5 linked regions of the Daphnia pulex genome follow. The protein of the gene in region 5 purifies or fractionates together with the protein of the main gene of each other region. This does not show direct contact. Links are inferred from orthologs where the notes say so. Each region holds a gene or a part of one and is shown on either strand. Other genes may lie near its edges. The genes, in order: homeobox protein B-H2-like, chromatin assembly factor 1 p55 subunit, uncharacterized protein LOC124190543, histone deacetylase 1-like and chromodomain-helicase-DNA-binding protein Mi-2 homolog.

What was found.
Region 1: the proteins of chromodomain-helicase-DNA-binding protein Mi-2 homolog (region 5) and homeobox protein B-H2-like purify together in Drosophila melanogaster (affinity purification with western blotting; 5 studies listed by BioGRID, with this or other methods). This does not show direct contact. The link is inferred for Daphnia pulex from reciprocal best matches to the Drosophila melanogaster genes Mi-2 and simj.
Region 2: the proteins of chromodomain-helicase-DNA-binding protein Mi-2 homolog (region 5) and chromatin assembly factor 1 p55 subunit purify together in Drosophila melanogaster (affinity purification with western blotting; 4 studies listed by BioGRID, with this or other methods). This does not show direct contact. The link is inferred for Daphnia pulex from reciprocal best matches to the Drosophila melanogaster genes Mi-2 and Caf1-55.
Region 3: the proteins of chromodomain-helicase-DNA-binding protein Mi-2 homolog (region 5) and uncharacterized protein LOC124190543 purify together in Drosophila melanogaster (affinity purification with western blotting; 6 studies listed by BioGRID, with this or other methods). This does not show direct contact. The link is inferred for Daphnia pulex from reciprocal best matches to the Drosophila melanogaster genes Mi-2 and MEP-1.
Region 4: the proteins of chromodomain-helicase-DNA-binding protein Mi-2 homolog (region 5) and histone deacetylase 1-like purify together in Drosophila melanogaster (affinity purification with western blotting; 5 studies listed by BioGRID, with this or other methods). This does not show direct contact. The link is inferred for Daphnia pulex from reciprocal best matches to the Drosophila melanogaster genes Mi-2 and HDAC1.

Annotation. Positions count from the first base shown.
Region 1 is NC_060023.1:4,653,995-4,660,571, reverse strand, and holds the end of homeobox protein B-H2-like, read right to left. Parts: exon of another isoform or gene 6,326-6,577; intron 6,227-6,325; 5' UTR 6,185-6,226; coding exon 6,141-6,184; intron 6,077-6,140; coding exon 5,776-6,076; intron 5,684-5,775; coding exon 5,345-5,683; intron 5,276-5,344; coding exon 5,026-5,275; intron 4,967-5,025; coding exon 4,604-4,966; intron 4,544-4,603; coding exon 4,239-4,543; intron 4,178-4,238; coding exon 3,973-4,177; intron 3,906-3,972; coding exon 2,863-3,905; 3' UTR 1,863-2,862; downstream 1-1,862. Other genes in the region: nuclear protein localization protein 4 homolog, read right to left, coding at 1-67, 130-391, 614-966, 1,037-1,117, 1,300-1,302.
Region 2 is NC_060023.1:6,453,765-6,459,935, forward strand, and holds chromatin assembly factor 1 p55 subunit, read right to left. Parts: upstream 4,898-6,171; 5' UTR 4,760-4,897; coding exon 4,741-4,759; intron 4,679-4,740; coding exon 4,531-4,678; intron 4,462-4,530; coding exon 4,316-4,461; intron 4,256-4,315; coding exon 4,051-4,255; intron 3,978-4,050; coding exon 3,605-3,977; intron 3,535-3,604; coding exon 3,322-3,534; intron 3,258-3,321; coding exon 3,078-3,257; 3' UTR 2,918-3,077; downstream 1-2,917. Other genes in the region: apolipoprotein D-like, read right to left, coding at 53-195, 261-356, 433-527, 606-739, 806-943. UniProt on the Drosophila melanogaster protein: Core histone-binding subunit that may target chromatin assembly factors, chromatin remodeling factors and histone deacetylases to their histone substrates in a manner that is regulated by nucleosomal DNA.
Region 3 is NC_060019.1:8,036,751-8,041,896, reverse strand, and holds the end of uncharacterized protein LOC124190543, read right to left. Parts: coding exon 4,795-5,146; intron 4,725-4,794; coding exon 4,266-4,724; intron 4,200-4,265; coding exon 3,630-4,199; intron 3,524-3,629; coding exon 3,258-3,523; intron 3,192-3,257; coding exon 2,763-3,191; intron 2,697-2,762; coding exon 2,469-2,696; intron 2,380-2,468; coding exon 1,873-2,379; 3' UTR 1,250-1,872; downstream 1-1,249. Other genes in the region: probable methyltransferase-like protein 23, read left to right, coding at 75-416; acyl-CoA-binding domain-containing protein 6-like, read left to right, coding at 447-1,121.
Region 4 is NC_060024.1:1,148,669-1,155,056, reverse strand, and holds histone deacetylase 1-like, read right to left. Parts: upstream 4,050-6,388; 5' UTR 3,910-4,049; coding exon 3,858-3,909; intron 3,365-3,857; coding exon 3,336-3,364; intron 3,271-3,335; coding exon 3,187-3,270; intron 3,126-3,186; coding exon 3,008-3,125; intron 2,944-3,007; coding exon 2,768-2,943; intron 2,696-2,767; coding exon 2,516-2,695; intron 2,458-2,515; coding exon 2,256-2,457; intron 2,200-2,255; coding exon 1,950-2,199; intron 1,893-1,949; coding exon 1,834-1,892; intron 1,752-1,833; coding exon 1,598-1,751; intron 1,534-1,597; coding exon 1,307-1,533; intron 1,248-1,306; coding exon 1,162-1,247; 3' UTR 980-1,161; downstream 1-979. UniProt on the Drosophila melanogaster protein: Catalyzes the deacetylation of lysine residues on the N-terminal part of the core histones (H2A, H2B, H3 and H4).
Region 5 is NC_060018.1:5,938,352-5,944,799, reverse strand, and holds the start of chromodomain-helicase-DNA-binding protein Mi-2 homolog, read right to left. Parts: upstream 4,345-6,448; 5' UTR 4,242-4,344; coding exon 4,205-4,241; intron 4,082-4,204; exon of another isoform or gene 3,865-4,081; coding exon of another isoform or gene 3,843-3,864; coding exon 3,355-3,842; intron 3,296-3,354; coding exon 2,872-3,295; intron 2,814-2,871; coding exon 2,541-2,813; intron 2,475-2,540; coding exon 94-2,474; intron 35-93; coding exon 1-34. Other genes in the region: enkurin-like, read left to right, coding at 4,612-4,646, 4,764-4,843, 5,094-5,347, 5,414-5,575, 5,640-5,774. UniProt on the Drosophila melanogaster protein: ATP-dependent chromatin-remodeling factor which acts in nucleosome-remodeling by catalyzing ATP-dependent nucleosome mobilization. Involved in regulating transcription. Plays a vital role in development.

The sequences.
Region 1 (6,577 bases), on a different chromosome or scaffold from region 5:
AGTAATGAAGAAATTGTTCGACTAGGTTTGGATTTTCAAAGACAACGTTGTCAACGTGTCTGTAAGCCTGTAGGATTTGAAACAAAGATTAATATGGTTTACATGTTGGAGCGGCAAATGGAATATTACTTGACTGTTCAGAGTAATGGCTTTCGGTTGGCATTTAGAGCACACACCTTTGGGCCATGGCGGATGACCAGTGCAACCAGGTTTAATCCGACAACTTATGTTATCCAAATTAGCATATTTTCCTCCGTCTAACCCACTAGACAGTTTCCGTAAGTAAGCGTGAAACGACATATGTTTGACGTTCAGCTCCTTTAGGTACGAAGCGTCGTATGGTTCCAATGGTAGACAATGAATGCAAGACGAATTTTCTCCATGGAGACAACTATCATTAAAAATAAATGCTGTTATTTTTCATGTCGGATGAATATCGGTTATTTTATAATACACCGCTTTTTACTATAATCCTTACATATTAGCCACAATGTCTCTGCATAATTTAGATTACATTATATTAGACTATTGCTTATTCTAAGGAAGCTTTCAAATAAAATTAGAACACAACTGATTACAATATTAGTCCAATACGTGCACTGTAAAAACTCACTTTTTGGGATCACGTTTTCTCTTGACAGTTCCATCCATTTTCTGTAGAATTACATCAACTTGATCTTCCTCTACATTAGATCGAATAGGTATTTTGGATCCATGCATGCTACTAGTTGATGGAAGGAAGGTTGTCGATGAAGCAGTGCTCACTCCATTTTTTACTTTAAGCACAGAAGCATCCTGTTCACCGTGCTGAACTGCACCAGCAATAGGTGACAAGTATATCATATCACCATGCTGAAGCCCATAACTTGCCATAGTCTTTGCATTCGATGAAACAATTTCTTGAGATTTATCACGTTTGCAGTACAAGGCAAAAGAATAACCTATATTTCCAAAGGTATTGAGGACCTAAGAAAAAAATTACAAAATTATTTGTGGGTTTTGCATTGTATTAATTATGGGGTCAATTCTTCTATACCTTTTCAAACAGTTCCCTGGTTACGGTGACATTGTCAACATCCACACGCCGAGTACCTTCTGGAGATTGAACTCTCAACATCTATAGGAAATATTTGTTGCAATTAATATGGTTCTATATTTTGAAAAATTTCATCATATCACGTATGAAAACGTCCCATGTAAAGACAATAGGCAACAATAAAAACGAACGTTTCAAGATAAAGCAAAATTTATGAGCATTCCAAAAAAATGTGATATTGATAACAAATAACAAACGTATACCATCTTCAGTTTTTTAATATAATTTGGTAACTGCGGACCGATAAGTTCAGGTTGATTGTCCAGAAGATTTAACGACAAAAGACCGCAGCGGATGTTTTCGTTTACTCGATCAAATCAACTTTCAGTCAACTTTGAGTACTCGATACGTTCTGTTATGTGAAACGTCGTTGAGTACGAACGCTAGATGGCGAAAGAAATTTCACAATTTTGAAAAAAATTAAATAAAAAAGAATTTTCAAAAATTGTAATCTTTCGTTAATCAAGTTTTATTTACATTTAAAATCATTTCAAATTAAACAAAATGTTCTTTGTTTATTATATATTAGGCACCTTATAACATTGGTTGAAGTCTACGGAAACTCGAAGAAAAAGAAGTGATAAAACGAACCAAATAATTCATAAATTTGAGTACGCAATTAAACTAAAGCTAATAGAAAGTTTATATCTCGCAGATTTATACTTCATCACACTACCCACTTGAAGGATTACTTTGTATACTGATAACTAGCTATGTATAGGTATCCGATTAATTATATAAAGACTTGATTCAAGATAAGTAAAACGATTGGGAAACACGTTTCTTGTTCACTTCTCTCAAGACAGATACAAACACACATACACTCGAGGATACCAGAATGTCAGCCTGCAATCCCGCATTTTCATCACCATGCCAAATGAGACAGTCATGTCCGTTGTCTTGACGTAAGTTTAATAGATCACGAGAAACAAAGAGGGAAGTAAAGACACATGGAAATTATAGGAAAACGGGGTGGGGGAAAATTCATGTCAGGAGGGTAGGGTTGTGCTGATGATCAGATCTGCAACAAGAGAAGGTGCACTCGCCAGATGAAGTTTTGAAAAAATCACGAGTCAGTGCATCTAAACAACAGTATAGAGGATGAAAAGCAGTACATGGCCAAATTTGCCTTTCAGGAGGAGGGGGGAGGGTTATATGTCATAATATTCCACATGCAACATTTGAGCGTTCCAGCATCCGGCCCATCACAGAGAATATGTGCTGATGAGTCCCTTCTGTGTCACTGCAGTTCTACGCTTTGCTACCTCTCTAATAATAAGAAACAAAAGATAACATCGCTGCATTTGTCCTATATCAAATATGGATTTGTCGTGGTTGTTGGGTGTCTTTTTAGCTTGAGTTCATAAGGCAAATCAGGGCGCACGTAACGACAGTCGTACCCTGCCTGGAGTGTGATGAACCACGATGGAAAATCGAGACAAAATTTCTTACTGGTTCACTAAACTGAATGAAGCAAAGACGATCGTGAGATCTCGAACAGCCTCCCTTTTTGTTTTTAGTTAATCGTTAGTGATTTGACATACGCATGGAACCAGTTCGCTTATTAAATCGAAAGTCAACAGAGAAATGGGGAGAGGTGAATATTCATAACGAGACCGCAAGAAATATTGAAAATAATTATTAATAATAAAGAAAAAAAAAGAACGTCTTGGCTCAGGCAAGTCAGCTGCTGCCGGCGGATGCAAATGCCCATCAGAGCGGAGTTGACAACACAAAGACACATTTTGAGGGGGATGTCTACTTGCTCAAGATTTCCAATTTTGACGACCATCGCCATGACCCTGGCTTTGGCCCTGTGACGAGCGGGAGCCGGCACTGCTGGCGGCGGCAGCGGCCATGTTGGGCAGGTGTGGGAGCATGTCCAGCAGATATTGCCGTTGCAGTTCGGCCAAACTGGCGGCGGTAAAGGCAGCGGCGCTATTGTCTCGACTGCTGTTTCCGCTGCCTCCAGCTCCTCCGGATCCACCACCGCCGCTATTGCCTCTGCCCTGAGCTGCTGCTTGAGCAGCCGAAGCGGCCATGGCCAGCTGATAAGGGTACAGCAGTGAAGAGAAGGGATTCATGAGAGGGTTGTGAGCGTGACTCGACATGGACGCCGATCCCGAAGGCAATCCCATGCCTCTCAGCAGCTGGGCTTGCAGAGCATTTTGCATTGCAGACATTTGGTGACCAAAGAGCTTGGTCGGGTCGGGCATTTTCGAGAAATCGAAGCTAGCCGATGCGGCGGCGGCGGCAGCAGCGGCCGCCGCTGCGTTCGCCTGTCTCTCCTTTTCACGTTCGCGGTTCTCGTTTCGTTCACGCTCCCGTTCTCTTTCCCTTTCACGATCCCTTTCTCTCTCGCGTTCCCTTTCACGATGTTCACGAATTTCTCGTTCCCTTTCACGCTCCCTCTCGCGCTCTCTGTCGCGCTCTCGCTCCATTCGATCCTTGCCAACGGCTATGCTCAAGCTCACGGCCGAGTGTGATCCGACTAATGGGCTGTGAGCGGGAGCTGGCGTTCCACTGTTGATGGACTTTGTGGAGAAGGGGATAATTTGAGTAGAGGCCGGTAGCGAGTCATACGCTTTGGAATGGACGCTGGCGCTGGCGTGGGACGGAGCTGGCATCGGATGATGTGGAGGAATAGGCGGACTGATGTTGCCACCTTGCGCCAGACGTTGTTCGATTTCCTGCTCCTGCTGCAAAGCTCGCACGAAAGCAGTCTTCAGTCGGTTCGTGTGCTCCGCTTTCAGGGCCTTTTTGACGTTGTTGGTCACACACTGATCACACATCACTGCTGGTTTCTCTACTATTAAACAAGAAATCCATTAGCCATCACTCGGTCGGTCGTATGACAAACAATCAATTAGCCTTACGTGTTGCGGCTTTGTCCCATTTCCACAGCGACGAAAAGTCTGTGCCGCACTGGGAGCAGATGAACGGGATGGGCGGAGTTGGATGGTCTGCACCCTGAGTTAGTCGATCGACGACGGCCTCCAAGCCCAACAAGTAGATGAATTCGGTATTGTTCGGGTTGGGGATGAAATGCATTTCAGGTGGAGGAGGTTTAGGTGGTGGGATCTGTCAATACAACGTGAATTTAATTTTGACTTAATTAAGGCATGGCCAAGAAATGAAATACCTGAAGTAAAGTTTTCTCCAATTGCTTCCTTAAAGCTAATTTGGCGGCTGCTTGTCTTTGGGCAGCTGTCTGAGGATCTTCAACTTGCCGGGAGCTAGAAGCACTTGTGTGATGATGGAGACCGAGCGTGCTGGACGAGCCAGACTGGGCAACATTGGGCGACGAGGTGCTTGTTCGCATGTGGTCGCGTTTGTCATGCCCCTGGATGCTTGGAGACGAAGGCGATGGAGCACCAGAGCCGATAGCTAGTCCCATCACTACATTCGGGGGTGTCGTAATAGGTGCTCTGCTGTGCGCCAAAAGTCCTATTGAAGAATGCACATTAAGAATTGGTAAATTCAATTGAATTATCCTGAATGATTTACCAGCCGATCCTCTCAGCAATTGTTGCTGGTGTTGCTGAAGTTGCTGATGCTGCATTAACGGCGATAAAACGTTACTATTGGAATTGCGATGTCCCTGTTGCTGTTGTTGATGAAGTAAATTCATGGCCATGTTGGCAACATTGGTCGAATGGCGTGATGAATTTTGCGAGTTTGAACTATTTCGGGAAGACGGCGACGAGCTCATGTGGTTGTTGTTGTTTTTACTGCTCGATTTCACGTGCTGTCCCCCATGGTGGTGATGAAGCTGCTGCTGCTGCTGCTGTTGTTGCTGCTGCTGCTGCTGAGGTGACGAAATCGATAAGTGGGCAGGATGAGGCTGCTTCGTACTGGTAGCTGGTGGTCCTTTTAAAAAACAACGTTACAGATCCAGCAGGCAAAATGATTATTGAGTGCGAAAAAACCTGTTTTGACGTCGTGAGAGTTTGAGGCAACTGTCAAATTTGTCTGTTGTTGTTGTTGCTGTTGTTGCTGCTGCTGATGGAGCTGTTGCTGCTGCTGCTGTTGTTGTTGTTGCTGTTGTTGTTGGGCAGCTAAAAGCTGAGTTTGTCGAATCTTTTTGAGCAGTACCAATCGCATCTCTTCTGTCCTCAACTCGGCTTGCAGCCTTTGTATAAGTAGTTGATTCTCTAACCGTTCCGTCTCGGTCATTTCCTGCAAATAACAAACCGACATGAAAGATGAATGATCCAACATTAGAAAAAAAAGGAAAGAAATGTTTACCTTTCTAACCGGAGAGGGAGGCATGGGTAAATCTTCCAGATTTTCACCCTGGGCATCATCACTTAGATCATCCGCTTCATCATCGGGTAGTTCATCGTTGATTTCCATATCGCTGGCACTGCCGTAACCATTGCTGTAGCCGTTGACGCGTCCTTCTTCAGAGTTTTTAATCGTGTAGACAACTTGGTTGTTATCCGGGCGTATCGAGAGTGGGCGGAACGACCGCCGGTTCGATGAACGCGATCCATCCTTCAGGTGAACCACTTCAATTTCATCTTTGATCGGCCGATCCATTTCCTTATTGGCGTCACGCTCTTTAGGCTTTTCGATTCGCGTTACCTAGAAGATAAAAGAAATAAAGAGAAATGAGCATACGTTGTCGTGTTGTCTTGACGCTGTTTTGACGGGAGACCAATTGAGATTTGTCTAACCTGAATTTCATCTTTTGGCCAGGGATTTTTGCTAGTCGGTGTGACTCCTCCAGATCGATGGTGAAGTGGAATGAAAGGGGATTGCATATGAGCCTGAACAGGTAGAGGACTCAAAGCGCTGCGGCCAACGCCGTTACCGTTGCCACTGAATCCAGCCCCTCCGTGAGCAGGTGTTGGATTGATACCAGCCAGAGCGCTGAAATGGCTGCGATGGACGGACAAGTCCTGGGGGAGGTCAGCCAAATCAAACTTGAACGGCTGTTGTTCACGGTGTTGATTCATCGCCTCTGCCGGTTTCCTACTATGATAATCAGCAGTTATGGCCATTTTGTCCATTTGCATTTCATAATAATAAAAAAATTTACCTGACGGAAAGGTCGACAACCGGTGAATCTTCTTCTGCTTCCATGGTTTTTGCTTGTTTTGTTTTTATCACGCTAGACTTGTTTTTCTGCAATTAAAAAAGCAAAAGAGAGAAATAAGTAATCTAAACACATCCACAAACAAGTTGTATGGGGGGGAAAGGGGGTCACGAACGAATGGAGCGCACCGAGACCAAGATGGCGTGAAAGACAAGGGTAGTAGTCCCTTGTTTCCCGAATCACGAATTGCCCAACGTCACTTGCGGCCGGGATGATGGAAACGTGTCAATGAAATGAAACCCAGGACGGTTTGACGTGGAGAAAGGGGGGAAGTAGGGCGGAAGGAGATGCACTATACATATCGAGGCACTACTAATGAACGGGAGGCAGAAAGAAGAAGGGGGGGGGAGGCAGTGGGAAGTAAAGTGGGTGGTAAACGC
Region 2 (6,171 bases), on a different chromosome or scaffold from region 5:
TCTTTGATCGTTAATTGCTCATTCCGTAAATTTTGACGCGTTTTGCTTCACTCTATACGATGGATGGACAGTCTTTCTGAACAACCGGAACCAGATTGCCCGCCTTAAAAGGCCCGTTGGTAAAGAACCTGGAGGTGACTGTATTCATGACGGTGTCTGATAGCGTTTTCTGCTTACCCAAAAGCCACAATTGCTCTGCATTGAATTATAGATTCAGAAAATTAGCCATTGAATTAATTATTATCAAATGAGGGGATTACCTCGCCGATATCCAGTGCAAAGGGGATCGCAACTCCAGGCTAGAGCATAATTAGTGTAGTCAGTAGCGATAATCCAGAATCGAATGTCCACGGTTGCTGCACGAGAAATTTTGTTTACAATTGATTAATCTAGAAATGCTTTATTAATAATTTCAGAATTTCTTTGTCTTACCGTTCCAACTGACGATAGGCATCTGAACTAGAAATTTGCTCAATTCTCCGTAGTCAAAGTAAGCATTGCCCGCTGCAATCGTAACAGCGTTGTCTCTGTCAAAAATGTTAAATAAGATATTTCGGTTGAACATCATTTTGGGATGCCAGTCTCAGTCGATTCTCAAAACTTACATATTGCTAATTCCTTTGAAACTCATCTTGAGAGCTCCCTGTTTGGACGGTCTGATGTCAATCAGCGAGCACCTGGTGTCGTCCTCGAAAGTTGACGGATACCGGCTGATCTCGTACCACCGAGTAGTAATAAACTAGCGCACGTAAAAATTGCGTAACGACCACAACACACGGTAGAAATTACAAAATTAATATTATACCTGAGCTGGATTAAAGCTGGGCTGCGTTGGGTATTTGGGACAATCACCGGGAATTACAATCTGGCCCAAAACGAAGGACGGTATTTCGACTGTCAGTACAGCAGCCAGCAGCATCAGCGCACTAAGGTTCTTTGCCATTGTGATGTTTGATGTTTTTGTCCTGGCGTGTGTTCTTCGGATGACAAACACCGGCGGTCTAATCCACAACGACGAGCTGCGCGTATCTTTTATACACTAAGACAAGAAATTCACGCCTTGCGCACCTTGTATAACGTGATAACAAAAAAGAACGCTCCTAGCACTGGGTTAGTAACCGATGTGCCAACAAAGAACCCCGCTGCTTGTTTTTTGGAGGGGAGGATAGAGAAGATACGAGTGTGGTGGTGGTAGACTCTCCTCAGTGGGGCGTAATTGTTTCACGCAGGTCAACTCTTCGAGACCCTACCCTTCTCGTTTCTTATAGCGCTGGATATAATCAATTCCAGCATGCTGAAGAAGAAGAAGAAAAATATTCCTGCTTCTCGAATGCTATCGAAAGGCACGATCGTCCAGCCACTTGCTTCACAGATTTTTCAACGTGCTGCTGCAATCCGTCTCGTTCTTTGTGGCCGCGTCACGCCCGCTTCGGAGGTCGAGCTGAGCTGTTATTGCTGCCTCCCCGCTGAGCGCGAAAGGTTGATTCGGCTGGAAATGGGCATCCATGAATGCCACATGCAGCTTTTTTGGGGAGGGAAAAAACGAAATTCGTGTTTATTATGATTCAACCTTGAAAGTGGAAATTAAACCCTGGGGTTAAGAGACCAAGTCCCAGTACAGCACCGCGAGCCGTACGTAACACCACGCGTCAACGCGCTCGATCAAGGTCCCGCAAGGCCAAAGATCGGGTAAACAGCTCTGTCGTGAGTTATTTTACTTGTATACCCCGATTGAAAATAAGCATCATCCATCTCTTTGATGTTGGCTTCCTCCAACCGAAAATGCATATCTCAACGATGGCCAGCGCTCTTTCGATTAGGTGATTAATGGATCTATTCAGTCAGGAAAGTGACTTGACAACCAGCACCGATAGGCCCAGCACCGACTTGAAACGCAATTTCCGTGTTAGAGACTAAAACCGAAATTAATTATACAATGTATTGTCTGGAAAATTCGGTAAATACCTTTATTAACAGTTAAGCAACCCGTGGCTTTTCAATGCGTAAAAATAATTTTATGATGAGGTTTCATTGAAACAAAAAAATACAAAATCGATTTTTTAAAATTGAAAATCAGAAGAGATTAACGATGCCGGTATTTTCAATGAATTTTATTTCAGTCGTTTGCGGATATTGGAAAAAAATATTGCGCGCCTTTGTTTTGGGCGTTTGGGTAACTGCCCTTGAAAAACCGATGCGTCACGTTTTTGCAAGGCATATTTCAACTGACAAAAAAGCGAAAAAAACAAACAAACAAAAACATTATGAAAATGTGGAATCGATTTTCACATTTCGCGATCCATAAACATAACAAATGTTGGCGTTTTCTCAATCCCAATACGGGGTCCAACCATCCAGACGGACCTTGGCCGAACACGGTGTTGAGGATGCTGCTGGAGTCTTCGTCATGCTCAACCTCAAGCGCTTTAATTGCGTTTTCAAGGTTGAATAATAAATAACATCGGTCCTCTACACTTATTCACGGGTAGGAGAGGAACTTTTTTACTGCCGCATGATGCCCACACCCAGCTGAAGACGATAGATGTTTACCTGCTGCTTGCTGGCGGGCCAGTGTGAGCCGAACAATGTTGATTCACGGTCAAGACGGATATGCTGTTGGCTTCTAAATCCAAACATCACAGATTAGAAATCCGAGTTCAAAGAAAACAGTCGAACATGTACAAATACAAAATCACGAATAATTAGAACAGTCGGGAATTAGGCAATTTACTGTTATTTAGCTTTCGAAATCTAATGATTGCGTCATAGGGTCAGGCGATCAAGAGTCGAATTTTGTTCTGAATAAGAGCGTCTTTCAACCATTTATTGAAATTTCATCACAACCCACTTAATGGACTGCAAATGGACTAGTAACCTAATTAACGGCAGTAATTAGAATAATTCAAATTGAACCAAATCGCGGAAAGCTATTTATTGAATACACAAACTTGGATCTCCAAGCGATGTAAGGGCCAAATTCGAAGATTTGAATGTTAAAAAAAAGATGAGCGTGTACGTGGGACAGTAAAGAATCAAACGATGAGAAATAGGGTATAGGGCGATACACTGGAAATGCATTAATTAGTAGGGGTTTCCAGTTCTGAGGCTGGCGTCTCAGGCTCCTCGTCGTTGTAAATATTTTCAGCCATTTGCCAAACTTGCATGATGTTATCCTCAGAGACGGAGCAGATGACCCAGGGCTCATTCGGGTTCCAGGAGAAATCAGAGATCTTGGCCGTATGACCACCGTGAATGAACTGTTGAGAATTCAATAATTAAACAGCATCCGAATCAAACAATCGCATCAATATTTCAACTTACCAACAATTCTGGAGGGCCATCTTCGGCATCTTCGGTGGATTGTTCTTCTCCAATTTTGGACAAGTCCCAGACATGCAAGCGTCGGTCGGTGCCAGACGAAGCCAAAATAGTCTCATTATGCGGTGACCATTGGACTTGAAAGATTTCATCCTTGTGCGACTCGAACGAATGTAATTTGAGTTTAAGATTTCTCAAATCCCAAAGAGCTACAGTCTAGAAATACAATTTGGAGACATGTTTAGTTGAGTAGAATAAATAGTAGATTTTAATATTAAATGAATACTTTGTCTGCAGATCCGGTAGCTAAAATAAATTCGGAGTAAGGATTGAATGACAGACAGTTCACTTCAGCCGTATGAGCATCCACGGTATGGGAGGGCCGGCTGGTGTTATTGCTGCGAGTATCCCAAATCATAAGCTTCTGATCATCGGCAACGGAACCAAACAAGGACTCGTGAAGCAAGTGCCAAGCGACATCTTCTACAACTGCTGTGTGGCCAGTGAATACGGTTTTGGCGTCGAGAACACGATTCTCTCTCGGCGATGCGTTAATATCCCACAAGCAAATGGTGTGGTCATCAGATGCTGACAGCAAGTGACCATTAAGGTTTGGATTCCAAGACAAACCGTAACCTTCCTTCTGGTGTCCTCTCAGACTAAAAAAAGATAATGTAGTTGTGAGTAACAAGTTTAGGTCATAAGAAATCATTTGAATAAAAAATGACTCACCGTAAATCAGGGTGGCACTCTCCACTAGGATCAGGGCGAGAAGGATGTTTTGTGTAGTCAAAGACCAAGACGTCAGATGAAGGTGTTTTAGTGGCAATCACACAAGGATTCTGGGGCATGTAGCGAGCCCTGTTGACTTCTCCTTCATGGTTGATCTTGATCTCAATTTCAATCTTACCACTCACTGATCCAAAGCCTCCAAACTCTGATAGAGATGAAGCATTAAAACAATAGTGCAACAGATTTGATCAAGTTAAATGACTACCTCCTTTATCATTGTCATAATGTGAAGCATCAAACTGAGCATCCTCATTAGGAAGCTGGACAGATGCAATCAAGAGGTGATTTTGTTCATCGCTAGTGTGAGTACCAAGGATGAGACGATGCACTGAGTAGTCTTTGCCTTCAGGCCTAACGGAGAAAAGAAACATTCAACAGTTAGAAAGAAACAATAAAACACCTTTGTTCTCAGTAATTTACCTTGTAACATCAGGAAGCCATTGAGCTGTAAGTGAAGGCCATTCCAGAGCATGTGTCATAACCAAATCATACAAAAATGGAGTATTTTTCTTCCAAATTTTGTATTCCTCGTTGATGACGCGTTCTTCCACTGCTTCATCAAAGGGCTCTAAAAAAGATTGGATTAAATTTCACTGTCATCCAATAACAAAGAATGATTTCAACAGATACCTCCATCTTTATCTGCCATCGTTAGTCAATCAAGTCCTTTACTAATGATGAACCGGCTGGAACCTGTCAAGCAATAGATTCGGTTAGCAGAGACTTTTGAGCGTGCTGCTTTGTTAAATGGCGGCAAAAACGAAAGCAATTCCAGTGGTGCCACTTTGGAAAAAGTCGAAACTACTTCAATAGTTTATTTTGCCGTTCATAGATGGCATGGTCATGTCTTTAAAGAAAAAAATCTTGAAAATAATAAAATTGTTGTCAAATTAAAAGAATTTGCCTACTTCAAAAGTCTGATTTAAAAATTAAATTTAATTAGTAATAATTAAAAACAATATTTAGGTAGGCCATGGGTGTTGAGAGATTTGTATGCCTGTGGGTAGGTCTAGGAAAAAATCTTCATGTAAGGCAGTGTAAGGCATAAAAACAGTTATATTGTTATAGGAATACAGTTATTTTTTCTAGAAAAAAATATTTGCTTTCAAAAATATATCAATGCTTAATTCCACAAAATTTTAATGGTTTTCCGATGCCCAATATGATTTTAACTTTTTCTCAAGCTTTTTCTGTTGCGCATAATTAATTTCATAGTGGTTTAGCGCTAGATGCCAAAACAATGGAAGGAAATTTGAAGGTGCTTCACCTTTGTTGTCAAGGTTAAAGTGATCTACCTGTTACAATGTAAAGGCGATTGGCGCTCTAGGAAATGGTTCACAGTAAATCATGAAGAAAGCCTCCTCCGGCCATCCGTTAAACAATGTAATATTTTCCGTCATCAGACAATCAAACCGATATTTGAACTAGAAGATAGCAAGACGAGTAAACCACTTCAAAATTCTCTTTCATTGCACAGTGTATTTTTTGCCATAAATTTAATTGAGTTCAGTATAGAAGTTGTACAGCGTTAATAGGATTATTTTTTACTGCGTCTAAGAAAAATTAATGATTTGAAAACACCGTCATTTCTTTCCATTCCTTCATAACGTATTTATTGGATTAAAATTTTCTGCTATCACAACATTCACTAAAGGCTAATAACGTAGTGCTTCAACCAAATGAAATATATATATATATATATTTCGCCGAGCATTACGTGTAGTATGAGGAGTATGAGGAATATGAGGAGTAATAATGGATGGAAATGCCGGTTGAGATATTATCATAACAATGGTCCAAAATTGAAGTCAACTTCTGTTCTCATTTCAAAAGAGATATTCCACAATTTAAGTTAGCTGTTGGCCTTCCGTTCATTTGAACAATAATTCATTGTAGATTCGATCGGACCCAATATATTCATCATCATCATTCATCCAGCATGGTACGATATAAGCTTTTGCACGAAAGACACCCATACACCATATTAACCACGTTAAAGCATCAGAGTTATGTTAAAAAAAGAAGAAACAAATATGGTTCAACCAAAAGTTGGATAAACAA
Region 3 (5,146 bases), on a different chromosome or scaffold from region 5:
CCCTTCAATGTATTGCTTTTATAAATGTGAGACAAATTTTAATTTTTAGTAATATTTTATTTATTATTTGAAAGGTAAAAATAATTGGACTCACATGGGGTACATTTGAACCACAACTTTTAAAACTTGAACCAGTTGACCTCATCATAAGTTCAGACTGCTTCTATGACCCAACTGTTTTTGAACCAATTCTCATGACTGTATCCTATCTGCTGGAAAAGAATCCATCTGCAAGTTTTGTGTGCTCCTACAAGGAAAGGAGTTCAGATTGGAGTTTTGAACCTTACTTGTCAAAGTGGAAATTATGCTGCAAGACTCTTGAAGTGGCAAGCATTATTTCAAGCTCAGTTGTTGATGTCGCTGAACTCACTCAGGATAATACTATACAACTCTTCGAAATTCATCGTGCTTCCTAGTTGTTCCAGTTCTGCAATATGGAATCAATAATGGATCTGGATTCTGCTTTCAGTGAAGCTTCAGAGACAGTGAAGGAATTTGTGAACATTGATACAACCACCATGCTGCGGCTCTATGGACTATACAAACAAGCAACGCTAGGAACATGTAATATTTCCAAACCAGGAATATTTAACTACACAGCACGTCAGAAATGGGAAGCGTGGAATGCTCTTGGAACCACCAGCCTCAATGATGCCAAATCCCAGTATATCGAACTAGTGGATAGTTTGGCATCGAACCATAAGAAAGGAACGTCAAGTGTTAAAAAAACATCAGCTTTCGGAGTAACAGTCAGCTGTATGGCCAAAATGGATCAAGAGCTGGACGACAGTGACAAGACAATTTTTGATTGGTTGAAAGAGGGAAAAATCGAACACGTTTCATCCATGTTAAGTGTAAATCCATCACTTATAGATCAACGGGACGAAAACGAAATGGCATTGATTCATTGGGCGGCGGATAGAGGCGATACGTCAATGATCAATCTGCTCGCGAAGAAAGGTGCGGACGTGAACGTTACAGACGGTGATGGACAAACCCCCTTGCATTATGCTTTCGCTTGTGGCCACGATGAGTGCATTCGATTTTTGGAACAACTTCACGCAAACCAAAACATCCGAGATCATAATGGTATGCTCCCTTCCGAGCTGTCAGACTTGTAAGCCAATTATACAGTTCAGTTGTTTTCTTATGTTATGTTTCTTTCTACAAATGAGGATGTCTTTATCCGTCAATAAACAATTTTTCCAGTTAAAACATTACAAATCAATGATGGTAGCCCAATTCTGTATGGAGGTACTAAACGCAGTTTATTATTGTTATATTTTTAACAGATGGCGACATGAAAACGTGGTCATGTCGATATGACCATTTAGACATTCCTCGTGAGATGGAGTGGAAAGGAAATAAAAAGAGGTATCGGTGTGAACGGCGAATAACCAGGGTTTGAGTAGGGAAGAAAATATACAGAATAAACTTTCTTAATTGAAGGAGGTGTTGGGAGCGGATGGTTTGGTAAAAGAAACAAATAACAATTAGTCAACAGCGAAAACTAAACGTATTTTAAATTTTCCGGGAAATAAAGAAAGAAAAGTAGAGGGGGGCTGGCAGATTTGCGATATCAAGACATGGCGGGCTGAGAACATGATCTCGAGTATCAACATCTTTTATGTTCGTAATGCACCTAAACATGGCTCAGTTTTTTTTTCCAGACACGACATGGTAAACACTAATCCAAATGTGTAAAAGTAAATAATCCTGTATTGTTTCTGAATTTTGTTTCATAAGAATATTCGCTTCACATTCATACCATCCAATGTTCAATTGGATTGCCTCAAACGAAATTGTAGGGAAGGGAAAAGATGCTAGGGAGCACATTTGAAACGAAAGCTCCCTCCAAAAAAAAAAAATAATTCACTCGGTATCGTTGTCGTCCGTCCTGCTGCGCTTGGACATGGACTCTCTACTATTTCTGCTTAGGTAGCCTTTAGGGGCGGGCACTTTCGTAATCGTCACTTGGGATTTGGGAAGAGTTAGACCGTCTTTGTTGTCTTGTTCGTCATCAGACAAGTCAATGATGTCAACCCGACTCCTTTTCTCGCCCCTGGAGGGCCGGCACACATTCTGATCAGATGAATCGTGACGAGTCGTTTGTGGTATGATGGTGATCTCGTCATTGATTCTCAAGGCCCCAGTTGTGCTGGTATTGGTCGAGCCCGAACTTCCTTTCTTGGTGTCTGCCTTGTCCTTGTCCAGAACTTTTCTAGCTACCACCGAATGAGCTGTATACACATGGTTCTCAAACAGTTTGTACATAGTGAAGGTGGCTGTGCAAACCGTACACTTGTACGAGAGATGAGCAGGTTTCAAACTCAGACCGTGATCCTTCACCACGTGACTGAGCAGTTTCCACTGATGAACCTAATATTTAAAAAAAAAATATTCAATTGAAATTATAAAACAACTTACACCTAGGTTGCAAAGGTCCTATGAAAGGTGTAACTCAGTACCTTTCCGCATATGGGGCAACGACCACCATCTTGTCCTCGGTTGGCCGCTTCCTGCATGGATGATGTAACCAACCCATGGGATCCCAACAAATGTCTCTCAAGGCCTTGGTCTGTAAAAAAACGACACTGGCATTTCTGGCAGTTCAGCGGCGGTCGATTGTGAATCATTTTGGGGTGAATCTTCACTTTATGAATCCACTGCATATGATGACGCAATTGCTCCAAATCCTAATTCAGATGTTCGGTAAATTAGAGAAACCGTAAAAAAAATAAAAAAAAAAAAATATTTCTAACCTTAATGGAACTGTCACATATTTCACAGACAACCGCCCCTTTCTGCCCTGGTGTTGCCGGTTGTCCAGCTTTTGCTGCCAAGGTATTGTTACCAATTGCCGCCATTGCATTCGTGGCCGCAGGAGTGACCGGGCTGACGGATAGAGAGGGTTTGTTTGAAAGTGTCGACGTGCTCGTACGTGGCAGAGGAGTAATGGAGATGCTTGGCTGCTGGTTGGTCTTGGCCTTATTGGTCGTGGGAGTAGTTGAGCTTTGAATTGTCAATCCGCTCGTGTTCACTAAGCCAGGCAGTAAACTAATGGAGCTGGTATTTTTCTTCAACTTATCAATTGCGCTAGCACCTGCCGACTGATTCTTGGACACATTTGACGGTAAGACCGACATTGAAGACCCATGTCCTTGTAACAGTTGAAAGGACTTGGCAATAGCCTGCAAAAAAGAAATAGACGTCTATGAAATTGATGATAATTGGGAAAATTGAAGATAAACCATTACCTGATAAATTTGATTGTTGGGAACACCATACGAGGAAGGATTTAAATAAGAAGACGACTGATTAGAGGCCTGCTGACGATAGTCACGCCCCTTAGGTTGAGGTGTTGACCCTGATGGCGTTCCTGAAACACGTTGAGATGCACCGGATACAACATGCAATTCAGCCGGCAAACGCAAACCAGCAAGAGCTGCCTGTGAAGGGCTGCCTCCCTTGCCTCCTTTGCCTTGAACTGCTGCAGCCATATTGCCCAAGTAAGTGTTTTGACCTAGGAATAAAAAAAAAAAGATTTTTAGACAACCGCGAATAAAAAACACTGATTCGCAGTAGGGAGCAACACTTGTCAAGAGAGTAATGGATCGACAATATATTACCGGTTCCGGTTGACGACAAACCACTGTTATATCCCAGAGAATTCATCAAGGCCGATTTGGGTAGAAGTGGGTGGTAAGGCAGATTTAGTCCTTTGGTCGACGTAAGAGAGTAGCCATGCAACCCTGTTCCCGCATTCATGCCAGGAGTGTACGCTCGCATGTAACGCGTGGGCATCCTCGGTATTTTAGCTGGTGGTTCCCAGTCTAGTGGAGGTTCTAGATTGCGGTCGGCGACGAATCTTTTCTGGCAGCTCATCATATGACGTGTTACTTTGGACTTGACGTTATCTTCAAATGGACAAAGTGGGCACTGGTGCGACGGCAGATCAGGTCCTGTCCGCGTCTTCACACCGTGATCTGTTTCGATGTGCAACGATACCAAATGTGATTCTTTGGCTTCGAACGAACACCAATGGCATCCATATCGTGCCGATGACCCAGATCCAAGGGCTAAAGGAAGGCTCTTGTGGTGAGCCATCATTAATGATGATTCGCTCTTGAAACTGCACTGGTTGCAAGAGCGCCAAGGCAATCGATAAGGATCATTTTTAGCGCGAGTAACATCAAGCCCTATAACAAAATCACATACAGAATATTATATCACATACGATTGAATGGTGTAGTAGGATATTTTACCTTTGGTCAAGGCGTTTACGGACAGGCTGGGGTCAGTTATCTTTGTTCCCTTGTGGACTTTCCTCTTCTGGACTCGGAGGAGATCTCCTTGAACATATTCCTGAACTAGTGACAGTCCAATATCAAGAAAAAAGCGCCCGATTGGCCCTGAAAAATATTCATCTTCTTCCTTCTTCAGCCTTATTGATTTTTCCATTTCCGATTTCATCGACGACTTATCGAGCGGAGTTGCTCCTAACGTAGCTGTTGCACTAGTAGATTTGACGTCATCTTTCTCTTTCTTTTCCGAATCGTTCGAATCTTCTTCGCTCAGAACTACGACGTCTTCTTTCTTTTCAGAAGCGGGATGGGGATCCATTGATTGGACTGTCTTTTTCAAATTCTGAGAAGCCGATTTCTCTATCAGGTACGGGACGACAAACGACGGGGCTTCGACGATGAAGGAGTCATCTGCCAAACCTGTTCAAATAAAAAACACTATAGATACCAAACACATCAAAGATCGACGAAATAAATAAAGCGTATATACCTAATGATTCAAATGGATCTGGAAGACTGGTTGAGTTAGAAATGGAGGAGTTGGTGCTCTTTCGGCTTGCACTCGAAGTAACAGGCGGGGGAATAGGCTTGGGCATTGCTTTTGGGGTGGGAGGAACAGCAGAAACTGTCACAGATGCAGGAACATTGCTGACTGGTGCAGCATTTTTTCCTTTCAAAATGGATTGTGTGTCAACAACAACAAATCCTGAGTTGGAATTGTTCTCTTTAGACCGTGGCACCACGGTCACACTTGTGGCTGAAGAGATGGAAATTTTGGACAGAATCGGAGCTTTGATAAGCTCTGGTGGAGGTCTCGTCACTTTGGTCATTTTGACAGGAGA
Region 4 (6,388 bases), on a different chromosome or scaffold from region 5:
TGGGGATGCTCGATGCGCTGGAAACCTATACCACAGCTACGAACTAAATAGTGTCCGGAATTACCGGAAGAGAGACTGCTGGATTGTGTGCGGCAGTTCAAGGAGCAACGGTCAGAGGCTAACCCTCTTTATGCCGCTGATTGGAAATCTTTTTGGAAAAGACATTGATCTCAAGGTACTCAATCGAAAGAATCTTTGTAAAATGACTTCATGCCAGATTGGATTAAGTACTGGAGAAATCGGATGAACGAACTTGACCTAGAAGAGGAAATCAAAACTCAGGAAACCACGCGGTTTAAACGCAACAAACACGAAAGCAATTCATATAACACGTTCACATACATTACTTTCCGTTCAGTTGGACTTTTAATCACCACTTTAAAAACCACTTTTTACGAAACCGACGAACTTAAAAATTATCACAATATAATTTGCAAATTAATAACTGGGAGCCGTGACTGAAACAATAACGAAGCACTAGAGGTACCACCAGTTGCCTTAACTTATCGGTTATCCATATCGATGAAACCTTTAGAATTATTTTTTTATATTATTGAGGCCTATAAAAACATAATGATTTAAGAAATAAGATAACTAGATAACAATACTAGTGACTAGTACTGTAACCTAACATATGTAATCTAACCTATGTAACCTAACACCAGAATAGTAAAATTTATCATAGTTTTGAAATTAAAATATGCACTATCCCAATTCAAGTATTTAATATTTATTAACTTCAACCTTAATCCTAGTAAAACCTCAAACTTTTCCTACGGTATTCCAACGTTCCACCAACTAGGTTGGGCTTACTGATCGCTGATTCTCCCTACAAAATCATTCTTAAAAATAAACGCTTCTTGCCTATTAAAGCTTCTGTTACGCTACATGTTGTTGAATCAGTATTCCAGTTTTAAAGTATGCACTCAACATAAGTGAAGTGCGTATCTTAGGATGTAGAAAAAAGACCAAACTAAAATGAAAAACTTAGTAAAAATGTATTGAAGACTGAGAACCCGATTGAGGGTATGCAGTTGGTGATAGGAGCCGGAGTTTACATTCTAATTAAGATACACGTAGAAAATTGGATGTGAATGAATCTCGAAGAATCACCATCAGTGTAAAATTAGCGAAAATGAAATAAAACCCTAATTGGTATTTTCAAACTTTTTCTCCTTTACTGCTATCGGCGCAAACCGGAACAGGGGAGCTTAATTCATGCGATGTAGATTTATCTTCTTCGGGTTCTGAAAATACATATAATTGGTAAGAAATCTGAGATAACCACGATTACGTGAACACTAACCTTTTATTTCATTCGCCATGGACAAAGCACTACCTTCACTAGAAGATTCACCACTAGACTTCAGTGTTGTCTCATTTTTCTTGTCCGAATCCTTTACAGTCTCTTTTGAAGTACCTTCCTTATTCTCGCCATTCACTTCTTTGTCCTCCTTTTCTTCCTTTTTGACCTCTGCAGCACCCTCAGCTGTTTCGGTTCTTGGTCTTTTGCGATTTGCTCCTTTAAATGATCTATATAGTAGAGAATAATGATTGAAAAAATGAAAAATTGCACGATTTATTAATGAATTCAGACCTTTGATCTCGGCGGGAATCCCCTTCATCTTCGGAATCACTGTATTCATTGTCTGGTGCAATCCTTTTATCTGATGCTCGTATAGATATACGTTCATCGGGATTAGATTTATCTTCTTCGTCGGAATCTTCGTTAATGGCATCCTCGGGAATTGCTGTCAGAATAATTTTGGATCAGTTAAACGCAATGCAATGAAATAATAAATACAATTGAAGAATTAAATTTAATGCAAGTACCTTGCATTTGGACTCCAGGAGCATGAGGTAACATGCGGAGGTTTTCGAAAAGACGAGTTCTAAGAAAAACATGTCACTCAACATATAATTCTTTGAATAAAACACTAAAAACTTACTTGATTTTATCTAAATATTCCGGAGTATTTTGATTTGCCATGTTAGACGGACTAATGTGCAATTTAAAATCGGGACCAAAATATTCAAAATAATCGTTGTAAGGGAGTTCATTTGCAATGTCATTTCCCAGTGCCACTGCGGTCTCGTAAGTCCAACAACGGGCAACATTTCGAATAGTGTAACCACCACCTCCAAGCAGCAGTAAAGGCAGATTATGTTTCTTAACAAAATCAACACATTTTGCGTGACCTAAAGACAACTTGATAATAACATGTATACTAAAAACAATAGTTCCGAACACATACCTTTCAAAGTAAGATTAAAGCATCCCAAACGATCACCAGACAAACTATCGGCACCGCATTGGAGAACCACTGCACTCGGCTGATAAGTTTCCATCACTTTTGACATGATAGGTACGAAGATTTGCTCATAGCTTTCATCATCTATTCCATCTCTCAGGGGGAAATTTACGGCATAATATTTTCCTTTGCCTGCACCAATGTCCTACAACAAAAGGATAAATAACAGTTTCTTATTCAAAATTTAGTTCAAAACTTCTTACTCTGAGATCTCCAGTTCCAGGAAAATATTCTCCATATTTGTGAAATGAAACAGTCATTACACGATCAGTAGTGTAAAAGGCTTCTTCCACTCCATCACCATGATGAATATCAATGTCAATATACAAAACACGTTGGTGGTATTTCAGAAGCTCTAAAATTGCCAACACTATGTCATTTACCTAAAATATGGAAAGAGATGAACATTAGTTAGTAAGTTATATCCAAAAACTGTTATTAAGTTATTCATTTACATAGCAGAATCCTGATGCCTCAGACTTTTTGGCATGATGTAATCCCCCAGCCCAGTTCACAGCTATCTCAGTTGCTTGCTTGTTGAGCTTCACAGCTCCAGCTACAGAACCTCCAGCAGATAATTGACAAAATTCGTAGAGCCCATCAAAAACAGGACAGTCTTCACCCACATTAACTAAAAAACAAACAAATAAATTAATTCACAATTTCAAATTGATCAAATTGTAAACACATCTTACATCTCTGCATCTGTTTATTGTATTCTGTCATATTGTCAGGTCTGATGCTTCGAAGAAATCGAATGTAATCATCACTGTGGAACTTGGTCATTTCTTCAGCTGTGGCTTTGTGTGGTCGCTAACAAAAAATAAATTCAATTAAACTGTGGCAATTATCATCTAGCTTCTTGAATTTTTACATAGATTTCCATTTTACGGTATAGCCCATAATTCAAGAGCAAGTTGTGGGTCATGCGTATGCGATGAGGTTTCATGGGATGTCCCTTCAATTTCAAAAATTTATTATTAATTACAGTTTCATTAACATAAATGTGTTCAATATTATTACCTGTCCATAATAAAAATTCCCGATGTCACCTAGGTTAATAAAAAAAGGAATTACAAATTTAAGAGTTAAAATGAAAAGTCACCATAAAAATGCCAACCCACCCACCAAGTAGGACGTCAATTATACCCCCGACAACCTCATCGACAAATTTGACATGAAAATCTTAATAAAATTTTGAAGCAATTCAAAAATAAAACCCAATTTAAATGATAATATAGCCACATATCTTTCTTTTTTAATACTATGTGCTCTTCAGTCTTCAAACATCTATAATTCTTTGTGATACTACTGTGCATAAATGACGTCCCACTTGCCAAATATTGTTACTTCCACATAAATTTTGTACATCAAAATGTCACAATAGATAGGTATATAAATTTAGCAAAAATCAAGTATCTTTGGGAATTTATAAAATAAATAGAATATGACCACTGAAATAATTAATTTAAAAAAGGACGCCGGCAGTCAAACACGCGACATGAAACGTTAATTATACATGATACAATTATTTTTCTAACTTACTGTCATAATAGTAGCAAACTCGCTTTCTGCTGTGACTTGGTTGAGTAGTCATTTTCGAAATTGAAAATCACAATTCTTTATTAAAATTATTTTTACTTTTCGACAGTTACACTGAAAAGAAAAGACACCAGCATCAATTGCTTTCGCTGCGTCGAATGCGAATGCTTACATTTACAGTGTTGCCAAATCTACAAACTAACTACGATAGCCCAAAGCCTCAAACGCGAATTTGAGGAAACATATTTGCCAGCTCTCAAAAAATCTCGAATCTCCTTCGATTCGAGTCGAGTCCTTACAAAACTATAAAAATGATGATAATAAGTGGAGGCAGAGTAATGGATAATTATCTGTTGCCCTGGTGGAGGAGTCAAGGTAAAGTATCACGTCAAACTAATTGCAAGAAGCAATTTTTCCATGAATGTTGTTGATAGGATTGAATATGTAATAATCAGTTTTCAGAAGTCGGAACCCTTCTGGGAAACATAATGTTTAATAAATATATTGGAATTTGATTTTTTTGGAAAACCCACACGAAACAAGTGATTTTCAAAATGAAAAAATTACGCAGTTATATTTTTTAAATCTTATATTATCAATTTCCAAATACGAAGGTATTTGAAATAAACATATTCTAGTAAATAATAAATTTAGAAATTAGGGATTAGGTTAGGGACTAAGGAGTATGGAACTAGAAACCAGAGCCATTAAGCTGGAGATCTAACGATCTATCAACTCCGTTAGACGTTTTCAGAGATAAGGAGATGGGCTCGCCGGAAGGAGCAGCGCAGTCGAATTCGTCTTCCGAGAAGGGGCAGGGGGAAAAATGTCGAAATCTTCGTTTTGGTTTCTTTTCTAAATAAGATTTGAAAAAGCCACCAGTCTTAGGTTGCGCCAAGCGGACAAAAAATAAAAATAAAAATTTTTGGCTGATGTAGGCTATTACAGATGTTATTCTTTCCTGGTCGGTCTGAAAAGAGCTGAATCTCTTTCCAGTCATCGATGGACGGGAAGATATAAAAAAATCTAGAAGAAGAAGAGAAAGAGGCAGATGACAGTTTACTTTTAGTCGCTAGAGCCTAGATGCCAGTTTCAACGCGCGCAGTTAAAATTGGTGAAATTCGACCGACCCACCATCTACTGTCGAAAAAGTAATCGAAGCCATCTATTGGCGAAATTGGAACTAATCCTCCCGTATGCCAAAAAACCTGTAGGGGAGACCGGACCCCTCTTGGACAGTCGCGGTTTTTCCCGCATATCTCCCGATCCCCTTAGGCAAAAGAATTTTTTTTTGGCTAAGGTCATTTTTTAGCCTTGCCTCCACCCCCTTGATTTTTTTAAAATGTGTAACTTTAAAATTTAAGAATTTACATTGATTTCCATTTTTCGGTGTTTTTTACCGAGCCGGGGTGAAATTAGACAGGGGCCTGTACCAAGTTAGACGGGGTTCGAAAAGGTGGAAATTAATGTCTTTAAATTATTTTAAAAACCTTGTATGATAGTTCTTCCAATAATAAATAATTTAAAAACATTTGTTTAAAAATTTTTTTACTCAAACAAACTTGGAGCAAGATCAATAATTCGGGCGAAAAATTTTGCAATAATTTATCGTGTTTTTTCTTCCTCCTATAACTCCCGTTCTACTCTCGGGAAATTAATTAAACTACACAGGATCTAGCATCATCACATCTAGAACAATGTGAAATCTAGAATTTTAAAGCAATTTTTACTATATTTTAAGACACTGTCCAACTTGGAACAGTGTCCAACATGGGTCCGGTCTCCCCTACAGAATCCCTACGGGAAATTCGTCTGTTTGGCTGCGTCCTGGTAAGTGTTGTCCCCCTATACCCTAACCACGGGCCTGCTGAGACCAACCACGCACCTACTTCTGTCATGCTTCTGCTCCCCCAAAAAACCCGTCGCCCCAGCATCATACGGGCCTCATGGGACTACGCGTTTCTTTATTTTATTGTTGCATGAAAGACATTTGTATTGATTCAAAGTCAATCCGCTTTTGAATCAATTCCTACATTTCAGCGGTCATTTCAAGTCGTTTCCCCACCCCTTCGAATCCAAAACCGATCCAAGGGGAGGGTTCCCCTCTAGTCTTTGTTCGAAATCCCCTTGCGGTGGTTTTTCTCGACAAGGGGAAACGGATTTTGAAGGGGTCGGTTTGCCAGATGATGCCCAATTATTATGACTTATTTAATTTAAGTTATTGTAGAAAAAGGACAGATATTTGACTTAAGAAAAACAAGAAAATTAAAATCGTATCACTAAGAAGTGTTCTAGTAGAAGTTAACACACGCCCAAACAAAGAAAAAAATCTTTCCGTTACAGCGTAAGATGCAATGCTATCATTAAATTTCCAAAACAAGTTTTTTATATTTTGGAAGTAATCAAGAAAAGATTGTATATTGGCTTAGCTTCAAGAAACCGAGTGAGCTCAACCTTCTTTTTGTTGGAAAATAGAATTCCCCTTGCTATTTTACATTAACCCAGAATAAATATCAGTAGGGTCATCAGGGGTT
Region 5 (6,448 bases):
CTGAATTACGAGTAACGAATCGATAGATCATGACCTAAATACAAAACAAAATAATGAAATGACATTTTTAAACTAAAGAACTATTATCAGTACCTTGTTGGCTTGTCCAATACGATGGGCTCGTGAAAAAGCCTGAATATCGTTGTGGGGATTCCAATCGGAATCGTAGATTACGACAGTATCAGCCGTCGCCAAGTTAATACCCAGACCACCTGCTCGTGTGGACAGCAAAAACACAAACTGCGGGGCTCCGGGAGCATTGAAGCGATCGATGGCATCCTGACGCAAAGTACCGGTAATTCCACCATCAATGCGCTCATATTTGTACTGCTCTCCCTCTAGAAAGTCTTCTAAAATGTCCAACATTTTTGTCATCTGTGAGAAAATGAGGACACGATGCCCCTGTTCTTTCAATACTCGAAGCATTTTTGAGAGCAAGACAAGCTTTCCTGAGGCTTTCACCAAAGCGGTGGTCTCGTACATGCCATTTTGTAAACAAGGTGCTTCTTGAGATGCAACTGGGAAAAGGTATGGATGGTTGCAACACTTCTTCAAGTCCATCATAATGTTGAGCAACGAGACTTGTTGACCGCCAGATCGGGAATTGAGGGCTTCAAAGTTACGTGTCAGAACATACTTGTAGTACTTCTTCTGCATAGGCGACAATTCAACTCGAACGATGAATTCGGATTTCGTTGGCATGTTCTTCAAGACGTCGGCTTTAAGACGACGCAACATGTGCGGGCCGAGCATATCGTGCAGGCGTTTCACTTGCTCTTCCTTTGCTAGATCAGCAAACTCGTTTGTGAAGGCCAACAGATCGTTAAATTTATCTGGGCACAGAAAATTGAGCAAGTGAAACAACTCCTCTAAATTGTTTTGCAACGGCGTTCCAGTCAGAAGAAGTTTGTAGCGAAGATTATAGCTGTTGAGGATGCGGAAAAATTTGGACTGATTGTTTTTCAAGCGATGAGCTTCGTCGACGACTAAAACAGCCCATTCGATTGAGTTCAAGAGAGCAGCGTCGATCGATACCAATTCGTAGCTGGTCAAAAGAACATGGAACTTGACGGAATTCGTCCGAATTTTGCAAGCTTTGTTGCCTCCCCGGACGGCACCTTCTTCAAACGAAAGTTCGTGCTCGCGAATGACAACTCGTGAGTCTTTGTCTCCAACGTAAGTTACGACGTAAAAGTCGGGGGCCCATGTTTCAAATTCTCGTTCCCAATTGATGATGGTCGACAGAGGTACTGCTACCAAAAAAGGTCCACGACAGTGTCCTTCCTTGTACAAAGAATAAAGAAACGTGATGGTCTGAATAGTTTTTCCCAGACCCATTTCATCGGCAAGAATCGTATCGGTGCCTTGGCCCCACGAGTAGCGCAACCAGTTCAATCCTTCCATCTGGTAAGGGTGCAATGCCATTCCTGATGCATCAATATATTCAGGTTGGCGTTCCCATTTCCGGCTTAAGTTGCTAATTGGCTTCTCAGGTGGAGGATTATAACGGCGTGGTGTTTCACGTTCTTCCTCAGCGGCTACCTCCTTGGATTTGCCTTTCTTGTGAGATTTCCCTTTACTTTTTTTCTTCGCCGGAGTATCCACTCCACAGGCAACTCGCAGGTCAAAGTACTCTTCGATTCCTCGTTTAAGGCCAGGGATTTCGACTTCGGTACCTTCCTCTTCCCAGGAAGCCATATCGTAGTTTAATTCTCTCCATTTAACAAGATAAAGCGTACGATTGTCACGAAGCGTACGGTGATTAATAACGCGATGGACGACCAACCATTCCGGTCGGATTCCGTAACGATAAAATCGGTTATCCAAGTCCATTTCTTCGAAACCTTCAATTCTCTTCTTTTGCCATTTTCGAGATGAGTTGACCACTTCTTTCTCTCCTTCAGGCTTCTCTTTCTCTTTTTCCTTCTCTTTCCCTTTCCTTCCTTTCTGAGCTGCTGCTGCTTCTTCTTCAGCTTCAAGAGCTTCGTCTAGGTCCACTTCTTCGCAGTCCAATTTCGGTGGTTCTTCCATGTCAACTTTTCTGATGTAGTAACGATACATGGCTCCATGAAACACCTCCAACTGAAGCTCGGCAATCCACGAACAGTGCCAGTAAGATTTTTCATGCCATTTGACGAAAAATTCGCGTAGACGAGGTGGGATCTTGCGAGTTTTAGCGTCAGGTGCTTCTTCTTTTTCTTTTACCGGTTCCTCCTTGGTTTCAACCCAACGCCAGGTAAGAATCTTGCTCACCTTGTATGGCAAAGTCTTTGCGGAGCAACGAGGACACTTCCAATCACCATCAGGAATTTCCGACAATGGTGGATTGAGGCAAAATGTGTGATAAGCAGAAGTGCAGGAGTCACAACACAGTAGCTCACCACCATCTTTACAAATGCGACAGAACTCGCTGTGTTCGTCATCATCCGCTGCGTTCCTGCCAGCTTTTTCAGTGATAGTAGCAGCCGTAATACCTAGACAAATTCAAATGTTAATAATCAACTTTGGCAATATATTTTTTCAGCTATTAGTTGTTTTACCTTCTCCTTCGCAGTGTGGGCATGACCACCTGCCTTCTGGAGCTTCTTCCAATTCGGGGTCGAAACATACTAAATGGTAAGCTCTCGGGCAAGTGTCACACAAGATGATTTCTCCTCCTTGTTGGCAGACTTCGCAATAATCTTGATGATCTGTTTCGTAGCCATCACCCTCTTCGGATGGAAATTTGGCCGTTGTCCTAGTCTTTTTCTTCTTCTTGTTTTTGTCGCCGATTTTCGTTTTAGCTTTCTTACGTGGAACTGCTGGAGCTGCAACTTTAGAATGGAGTAATGAAGACAACTATTGAAGAATAAAATAAAATATGAATCTTACCTTTAGATTCTTCCACAACCTTAGAAGCCTCTTCAGCTTCTTTCAACATTTGTTCGAATTCTGCGTCGGAGTCTTTTTCATCTGCACTCACATCATCTGAGCTAGTTCTCTTGCGCTTGCCCAGCTTAATTTTGATGGTGGGAACTTTGCCTTTTTTGCCAGCACTTGTGTTTCCACCTTTAGTCGGCTTTCTACTACGCTTTTTACGTCCTTTCTCAGCGAATTCATCGTCATCATCTTCATCATCATCAGGTAGTTCGGGCTCTTCTCGGCCCGACGCTGCACTGCGAGAGCTACGCAATGGCCGACTCGAGCTAGCTTCAACAGCTTCTTCTTCTGCAGGTGTATCATTGCCTTCAGGAATAGTAGCTGAAAATTCTCTCCATTTTGCTGCAACAAGCATCATTAGCTTTGACATGGGGACCTAAGCAACAAGAAGAGATTTATAAATATACTGAAAAACAATGAGAAACAAAAACATACTTTTGGGTTTTCTTTTTGCAGCAATGGCCGAACATGTTGCTGGAAAAGTTTGTAATTGTTAAGATTTTGAAACTCGGCATTTTCATAATCAATCTCCACATCAGTCAGACCAAAAGTTGAACAGACTTCCTCAACACTCGGCATCCCAGAATCTGCAGTTGCTGCACTTTGAGTAGGTGCTGCTTTTGAAGCTTTAGTTTTCTTTTTGGAAACTGGCTCATCCACAGGCTGTTCTTCTTCTGCTTCACTGGGTTCAGCACTTTCGACTTTCTTCTTCTTTTTCTTCTTTTTGCTCTTCTTATCTTCATTGCGGGACTTGTGCTTTTTGGATTTTTTCTTCTTTTTTCCACCACCAGTGTCTGGGTCAAAGTCATCATCATCATCTTTTTCGAGGCCATCAGAATCCATCATGGACTGATCTTCGTCTTCATAACCACCTCCTTTGATAATCTCGTCTTCTTCGCCTTCTCCACCATCACTGTCTTCACCTGCAAAATGACGTGAAGCCATATTCACAACCGGCTCTTTCAAGTCTTAACACTCGGTTTCAATCGCTTGATCGATTCGGCAAGTCAAAACACAACGAAACTTCACAATAGTCAAATCAAAATTTCTCTCTTAATACTTATGAAAAACATATAAAACGACTTCCATCGAATCGTACAACGAACTCCCCTAAGCGGCGTTTCGCATGTGAAGACGAAGAATGGCTTACAAAGGCCAGTGCACCCCAAAACGAAGCCCTCCCTCCCTCCTCTAATTTTTGTTCTTTTTATATTTTTTTACAAACGATCGATTTCAAAATCTGACAAAAAGCTAAACATTTAAATTTATGAAATATGGTTTTTACCTGCTTTATGAGCTGATTCTGGATCGAAAGAGGCCATGGAGTGGTATATTTCAATAAAATTTCTTCAGATGATCAAGTTAAAAAAATAAAGTGGAAAAAACTCGAGCGGTGTACCAGAATCACAAAACAAGCAGCAGCACTCTCCGCACCGTTTGGGGGCAAATCTACTACTAGCGCCACGATGCGCTGAGCGGTAACGTTCTAAACTTGAAGGCACCTCCAGTTCCGGTGGGGAGATTGGGGTGGGACTGGAGAGAATATCGTTGCTTAGCAACCTTTTCAACTAATAATAATTTTTTCTTCATTTTCTTTTAACGCATCAAGGGATTTTGCATGTCTCGTTGTAGTTGCGGGTAACGTCAAAACGCTTCGAATGTGACGACAGATTTTCGCAAAAAAGAGCAGAAATGGCTGGACCAGGTGCGCTCAAAAACACTGTGAGGTACGTTAATCGGTTCCGACGACTCTATAAATCAGATTCTTGCATAAATTTACCGCATTGCATCTGAGCCGTATATTTGCATTTCCTCATTCTCTATCGTCCAAATTGTCTGTAAAGGGAACGAGAATTTCAAACCGAAACCTCGAAATCGGGTCGATCGATCAAAAGGAATCACGTCACCCCTGCTGAAAGAGAAGGTTCGTATACTCTATCGTGAGATGATGAGATACCTTATTCCCCCCTCTCTTCGTCCAAAGACTTCCATCTCTGGCTACGTTTTGACAAGCCCTATATGCAAAGGTTGGAATGGAAGGTTCTGGAATTTCGATCGTGGGTTGTTGATAGAGGACGAAGACGAACGAGAAAAGAAAAAGATTAGATAGAAACATTTTTGTTTTTGTCTTTAAATCGCTTTAAATAAAATAACGCTTTTACTTCTTTGATGAGATTTTATAGGATACGTCGGTCGGAGACCGAGAGCCAATCGGTGTTCATGCCAACGGCTTCCGCCCGTCCCAAAAAGAAATGATCCTGTACCAGCTCCCTATCCTCCTTCCCACGACAACTACATCGATTATAACGCTAAACATGTGGATCCAATTCACTGTCACGAGCCTAAGCTACAGATAGTTGATTCCAAAGATGGGCACGTTATGGATCTGGAGAAATCAGGACTTGTTCCACACTACACTACAAAATCGGTTTTAAGTGAAATAAAATTAGGAATCCGAAAACAATTAATCTGATATTCCCCTTACCTTGAGTAGACTTTCGGACGAGTACCAAACTATCTCAAATTCGGCCAAACCCAGTCGCAGCACGGAGATTCGTCAAAGGATGTCCAATCACGATCGGAAACGACGAAAGAGCGCCCTAAAGCGGCTACGCGAGTCGTCAACAAGGACATTGAGGTCAGACAGATGAATTCGGTTCGTGATTTCTCACTGCAATTTCTAACGCGTCCAATTGACGCTACGTACTATTATTACACAGAAGCTTCAGCAGCGGTGGATCGAGCTCGAGAAGCGTTTAGGATTGATCAGTTTCTCCCGACCGGATAAACGCGAGGCAATCGAGGACGAGTTGCGGAGCATTGAATTGAATCTTCGCATGGCTGTCTCCGGTTAACCGTAGTTCCGAAGTTTATATTGATACAGCTTGAGTTGCTGGCACAACACGAGAAATATCTTCCTCTTCTAGTAGCACTTGACCACCTGTACATTCTGTTAATGGCGTGTTATTAGCTAAGAATCAAAGGAGTAAACACAAAATCTGATTGAATAAAAGAAATGGCATAGAATCTTTTATTAGACCAAATTTGGGGTTTCTTTAAAAAAAACTTTTTCGCCGGATTGAAAAATGACATTGATTTGCGGGAAAAAACTGTCAACACTTTTTTTCAGACTGAAGAGGGAAAAGAAAGTTAGTTTAGGGTAGCAAAAACAATAGAACGGGGGGGGGGGGTCAAGACAACGTAGAATTCGTGTGACATGAAGCTTTGGACAGAGAATTTGGAAGAGACAGGTGCGCACGGCACGAGGGGGGAAAAACAGATGAAATAACGTAAACAATTTTGACAAAACGAATTGAAAGCAAAAACTCTACGAGTCGTTCACTCAACATGTCTAGAAAAATGGCAGACTGCACTAAAAACAAGAAAGACAGAAAAAACGATCGAACAAAGAGAAGAAGAAAGAGGGAACACAACTGAGATGGACTGGTCCGTGAGACGCGACCCGTAGTGCTTTTTCTTGTTTACACATAAGAACAAAAAAATGTTCTTGACATTTCGATTCACGTTA